Saccharomyces cerevisiae S288C: one gene and its partner. Each later gene encodes a partner of the first gene's protein in a complex. Each region holds a gene or a part of one and is shown in the gene's direction. Other genes may lie near its edges.

The links.
Region 2: RSM25 (region 1) and MRPS5 share a complex: the UniProt entries of both Saccharomyces cerevisiae proteins name them as parts of the mitochondrial small ribosomal subunit.

The regions. Positions count from the first base shown.
Region 1 is NC_001141.2:187,358-190,757, reverse strand, and holds RSM25 (mitochondrial 37S ribosomal protein mS23 RSM25), read left to right. Parts: upstream 1-1,973; coding exon 1,974-2,768; downstream 2,769-3,400. Other genes in the region: YIL092W (uncharacterized protein), read right to left, coding at 1-1,692; LYS12 (homoisocitrate dehydrogenase), read left to right, coding at 3,126-3,400. UniProt on the Saccharomyces cerevisiae protein: Component of the mitochondrial ribosome (mitoribosome), a dedicated translation machinery responsible for the synthesis of mitochondrial genome-encoded proteins, including at least some of the essential transmembrane subunits of the mitochondrial respiratory chain.
Region 2 is NC_001134.8:719,689-722,960, forward strand, and holds MRPS5 (mitochondrial 37S ribosomal protein uS5m MRPS5), read left to right. Parts: upstream 1-1,701; coding exon 1,702-2,625; downstream 2,626-3,272. Other genes in the region: SPO23 (Spo23p), read left to right, coding at 1-916; DUT1 (bifunctional dITP/dUTP diphosphatase), read left to right, coding at 2,923-3,272. UniProt on the Saccharomyces cerevisiae protein: Component of the mitochondrial ribosome (mitoribosome), a dedicated translation machinery responsible for the synthesis of mitochondrial genome-encoded proteins, including at least some of the essential transmembrane subunits of the mitochondrial respiratory chain.

The DNA.
Region 1 (3,400 bases):
TATATAATTAGAAGGACGGTCATTAAAATGTGCACTCCTCGTGCGCACAGCAAAGTTATGCAGTGGGTAGCACTTTCGAGTTTTCAAATTAAGCATTTTGCTGTCTTCGTAAATGTTTCCTGGAATATTTCTGAGGCCCGCGATACGGCTTAGCCTATTTATTTCCATAGACACTCCAGGGCTTTTGAAGCTTTCTGATGGATTTAACTTTTTCTCCTTTTCGTTTGTCATGAACGGATTAAACTGGGCAATATCTTTAACCTGGCTACTCTTGCTGATTTCATTTTTTTTTACTGGATTACTAACTGTCGCAGAGCTTGTGGGCGGAAACATATACTCTGTTGAGGAGAAGCTATTCGATATACCACTATCTAGAACGCTCCCGATCTTTGTGCCCTGAATTTCAGCGTTTTTTTGAAATATATTTGATGTTATAGGTTGTAGTGAGTTTTTCTTGACGGCGCAGCACCTCTCATTCAAAGAACGTGAGTTTCCATCCATACGTTCATCATAAGTTGTAGTTTCCTCCTTCGTGCCTAAAACTTCATCATTAATTAGGTCAATATTAATTGTGCCTGTAACCAAACTGCCGCTATTCAAAATCGATATTGGCTCCACTGCACATTGTTGAGATTTACTGTTTTTAAGATTCGTATGGAGATCGCTTAAATTGGTGTGTCCATTTTTTGATGTGTATGCATTGGCAGAAACATTCCTAGATGTAAGAATATTCTTTTCCTCATCCATGACAAGAAAGAGCCGCATTCCAGGTTCATTTTGTTTCCGACGTTTAGGATCGGGTATGTGTTGACTGTTCTTATCAAAGTAATTTTTCTTATCACTCTTTTCAATAACCTTATTCTTACTTATAGTTTTAGTATTCGATAATTTGCTAACGATAGCAGTATTCTTACTCTTTGGAGTACAAATGTCGGAATCCCTCGTATTTTTATACCGGTATTTTTTATGATTAGATGCTCTCTTCGCAAATTCACAGGCAGTTATCAATAGTGCTAAATTCAAAGTCATTGGGAATGCACAATTTTCCAGTTGCTTTTGCAACTGTGGCTCCAATTTTGTGAGGAATAGATCCAACGCAGCACCAGAAGACAGATAATATGGAGTTAGACGTCCCGATTTATGGGCAAATGCTTCTAATGACTTCTCAGAATCAATGGACAACGTCAATAGTTCCGTAAAAATTTCCCTTCTTAAAGATCTTGCTCCATCAAATTCTTCTGATAGTAGAGCAAGAAATTTTTCAAAACTGTAAGCCTTTATCACATGGTCATCGATTCCCTCCGTTGTAGAATCAAACCATGTCTTAGCCCGGCCGGATAATGCAGAGCTTATAAGAAGTTTCAAAAACGTTCCTGTACAGCATAGTCCAAATAAGATATCTGTAATATCATCGGCCCATTGGACGAATATATTGTTATCATCACCGTCTTCAGCACTGAATTTTTTCAGATGACTCACTTTATCTAGCATTTTGAACGCTTGTTCATCGTCATCAATCTGTCTTGTAACACAAAAATTATTACACGCTATGGGCAAAGTTTCGCTCCTCTTTCTACGTCCACTGTGTCCCTTCTTGCTTCGCGGCGGCAGGGTATTTCCATTAGCTATTGTATCACTATAGTTATTAGTTCCCGACTCGTATGCCATGTTTTTGGATCTCATTTGCACCATTAAGCAAAAAGAATCTGTTGAACGAGGACCCTAACCCAAGACAGCTAATATACTGCTTTTTTATGACATTTTTCATTTGGTCTTCATTCTTGCGCATCTTCTTTGAGAGTTGAAATTTCTTTGATACTTCGGCAATTACAGAAAAGTGCAAGTTACAAGCAATAAAACCAATAATATTTAGATACTGCACAAAAGTCTAAGAAAATAACCTCATTAGAAGCTTGGAAAAGGAAGAAGGACATTGCGCACCATTCAAGAAGAAGATCTTAGAATTCTGAGAAATGAAGATACAAACAAATGCTGTAAACGTCCTTCAACGGACGTCCGCTTACTTGAAATCAGGATTGTTGAAAGAAACACCTGCGTGGTACAACGTTGTAGCGTCTATCCCACCATCAACCAAGTTTACACGTGAACCTCGTTTTAAGAATCCTTCCAATGGACACATCATAGGAAAACTTGTTGACGTAACAGAACAACCGCATGCCAACAATAAGGGACTTTACAAGACAAGACCCAACTCGAGCGACAAAAGGGTGGGCGTGAAAAGGCTGTACAGGCCACCTAAACTAACATACGTTGAGGATAGGCTCAGATCGCTCTTTTACAAACAACATCCATGGGAGTTGTCGAGACCTAAGATTTTAGTGGAAAACGAAATTGGTGATGAAAACTACGATTGGAGCCATATGCTTCAGATAGGAAGACCACTCGATGGTGAAAGTGTTATCCAGCGAACTATGTACTTAATCAAAACGAAGCAGTATGGGGACATGGTCGAAGCATATGACCATGCCAGATATGAATTCTATGCGTTGAGAATGCAAGAAGAAACAGAGCAGCAAGTGGCTTTGGAAGAAGCGGAGATGTTCGGATCCCTCTTTGGAGTTTCTGCCATTGAACATGGTATACAAAAGGAACAAGAGGTCCTAGACGTCTGGGAAAAGAAGGTAGTTGAAGAAACTGAACTAATGGCAGCAAGGACAAGTAACCCTGCAGGGTCGTGGAAGGACGACACTACATTGAATACGGCGCAAGAAGAAGAATCCACCACTTCCGAGAACCTCCACTTCTAGGTGGGCTGCCTCTTTTCTCCAACGTCACCTAACCAACCTGTATATAATTAAAAACAAACGAGAACAACACATGTAGTGCTAAGTAATTGTCGTTCTCAAATTCCACCTCGATTTTTTCAACTGCACTGAAAATTCCCACTCTTTTTTTTTTTTTTTTTTTTTTTTTTCACTTTTTTCCCGTGGAAAAATATTCTTAAGATGACTCTAATTAGAGGAAAGAACAACAAGAAACTAAACTGGTTCTACAGTTATATAAGGACATCTTAACTGATTTAGAATTAGCTAAGACTGTATCTATGCGATTATTATATTAGTGCGACATATTTATATAACTAAGATAGTAACGCACTCAAAAAGATGTTTAGATCTGTTGCTACTAGATTATCTGCCTGCCGTGGGTTAGCATCTAACGCTGCTCGCAAATCACTCACTATTGGTCTTATCCCCGGTGACGGTATCGGTAAGGAAGTCATTCCTGCTGGTAAGCAAGTTTTGGAAAACCTTAACTCCAAGCACGGCCTAAGCTTCAACTTTATTGATCTCTACGCCGGTTTCCAAACATTCCAAGAAACAGGAAAGGCGTTGCCTGATGAGACTGTTAAAGTGTTGAAGGAACAATGTCAAGGTGCTCT
Region 2 (3,272 bases), on another chromosome or scaffold:
CATACACCACTCATTAAATGATAAGAAAATTCTATTGACAAAGGGCACGTACGATTACCCATTCACTTTTACCCTTCAAGCAAATACTTTCCCAGCAAGTTTCTCTTCCTTCTTTGGCAAGACCCATTTTCGAATAGAAAGCTTAACAACAATAATGAGAATACCAAGTAAACCTAAAAACTTACTCAAATTTTTGAAGAATGAAAGTTTTACAGATAAGATCATTTTAACAGAAGAAATTAAAGTTAAAAGAGTCCTGCCTTCAACGAGTATGCTTAAGTTTGAAACATTTCAATTAAGGTCATACAATACTGCAAGTGAGATCGTAGTATCGGTCATTGGAAACTCCAAGTTGATTGAAATTGGTATGCCTTTCCAAATGATATTATCAATTACCAAAACAGATTCTTCCATTGAATTACAGGAAGCTTCTTTGGCAGTTGCACAGAGAATGGCAATACCAAGTATTGATTTGAAGACCAAGAAAATACTACGAGAGCCATACATTAAAAAGTCCGAGTATTTACTAAGAACTGTAGAAAGCCAAAGTTTCGATTCCGACAAGACCATTTTCGGATTTTGCTTTGATGACGTTGTCATCCCAACCTATGCGGATGGTCTACCGAGCTGGTTTAAAACATTCTACTGTGAACCAAGTTCATTTTATCCCAATCATGCTGCCCTCAAAGTAACTCATTTGCTTTTGTTCAGAATAACCTATAGCAGGAATGAATTGGTGGAAGGGCTTGAAATGAAAAAAAATTATCGTATTACGGTGAATTTTCCAATTTTAGTTGGCGATAGTGATATTTCGACCAGCTCTTTGTTACCCAAATATGAAAAATTTGAAAATATTAGTGATCTACAAGATGAACCCCCACTATATTCTATGGTAGCAGGTGAGAATAGCTTATGAATGTTCGGTACCTCAGAACAACGCCTCTATTTTATCCTTTTTTTTTTTATTTGCATGATATACATATACTATTTTTTATTAGTTTCTTATTCTACTATGTATTTACGTAACAATAAATTTACAGGTCTCTCTTTTTGTAAGTATCTTGCACGCTGATATCTATAATACTACTTCACAAGTTGATCAGCTTCCGAGATAGACATTTTATGTATCAAGTCGCCATGTCCGTTCTCTACTGGCCGGTGTATATTATGATATTTCGACCGGTTCTAATACATAAGCACCGCCCACTCTGAGGAGAAGACATTTTTACAAGAATTACTAGCCATATTTTCCCTTGTCAAATTAGAGAAGGAAAAATTACTTGAAACATCCCGTGTTTGGGCACTAAAAGTATATCAATAGGAGCTGAAGAACACTACACTAGACTCTCTTGGCGTGAAGGCCTTATTATGTGAACTTTCGTAGGTTTGACTTTTACTACCAGTATGAAAAAGGTTAGAGTTTATTCAATCAAATGGAAAAGTTTTACAACTGAGCTAGTGATCTCCAAATGAGGTAGCAAGTAACAGTCGTATGTATCCCATACATTTATGTATCCCATATATTTCATTACATGGTGATGCTTTCTTTTATTCGCGGAGTAAAGTTCCTTAAAGTGAAAAAAAAAAAAAGACGAATTGACAAGACAATAATACAAGCACCACTAAAAGACCTATCGTTATTGTTGTCAAAGTAGACGGTAAACCATACAAGAAACAGATTTCATAGATCAATAGGTAAAGATGTTCAAGAGGCAATTATCGACTAGTGTTCGTTATCTACAGCATTATGATGAGTCGCTATTATCAAGGTACTATCCTGAAAGTCTTTTAAAATCCATAAAACTTGCTCAACAAACGATACCAGAAGATACTAAATTCAGAGTATCTCGTAACGTGGAATTCGCACCACCATATTTGGATGATTTTACCAAAATACATCCTTTTTGGGATTACAAACCAGGCATGCCCCATCTCCACGCTCAAGAGGAGAATAATAACTTCAGCATCTTTAGATGGGACCAGGTACAACAACCATTACCAGGCGAAGGTAACATTCTGCCTCCAGGAGTCAGCTTACCAAACGATGGTGGTCGGAAATCGAAAAGCGCCGATGTAGCTGCAGGGCTACACAAGCAAACCGGTGTAGATCCGGATTATATCACTAGAAAGTTGACTATGAAGCCGCTGGTGATGAAAAGAGTGTCAAATCAGACTGGGAAGGGTAAAATTGCGTCTTTCTATGCCTTGGTTGTCGTTGGTGACAAAAACGGTATGGTAGGTTTGGGAGAAGGTAAATCTCGTGAAGAAATGTCCAAAGCGATCTTTAAAGCTCATTGGGATGCGGTAAGGAACCTGAAGGAAATACCTAGGTATGAAAACAGAACTATTTATGGTGATATAGATTTTAGGTATCATGGTGTGAAACTACATTTAAGAAGTGCAAAACCAGGGTTTGGATTACGTGTAAACCATGTAATCTTTGAGATTTGTGAATGTGCAGGTATCAAAGATCTGAGTGGGAAAGTATATAAATCCAGAAACGATATGAATATAGCTAAAGGTACCATCGAGGCTTTCACGAAAGCTCAAAAGACATTGGATGAGGTTGCCCTGGGTAGAGGCAAAAAGCTTGTTGATGTCAGGAAAGTTTACTATTCAAGCTGAAATACTATGTACATACACACGCACCATTATCTCTCGTTTTACATAAGTAAATACAGCAATAATAATACCTGTAAATATCTCAACATACTCAATCAAATGAGCTGATAAGCATATTCAATTTTTCTTCATAGCAATATTTTTTTCTGTCCAAGTTTTATTTTTTTTCCATAATTTCTGATTTACTACCATTGAAAATTATAAAAGGAAAAATATTACGCGCTACCATTTAATAAGTAGAAACAACTAAGTTCTCGAATGAGATGTTTGCACTGATACAGCGAGCCAAAAAATAACCAAATGACTGCTACTAGCGACAAAGTACTAAAGATTCAATTGCGCTCAGCAAGCGCTACTGTACCTACCAAAGGTTCTGCCACTGCCGCGGGATACGACATTTATGCATCTCAGGATATTACCATTCCGGCTATGGGTCAAGGTATGGTTTCCACCGACATATCGTTCACCGTACCTGTTGGTACCTACGGTCGTATTGCGCCAAGGTCAGGCCTGGCAGTGAAAAACGGTATCCAAACCGGTGCTGGTGTTGTCGACAGAGATTACACCGGTGAAGTTAAAGTAGTTTTATTCAATCATTCACAGAGGGATTTCGCGATCAAAAAAGGTGATCGCGTAGCCCAATTGATTCT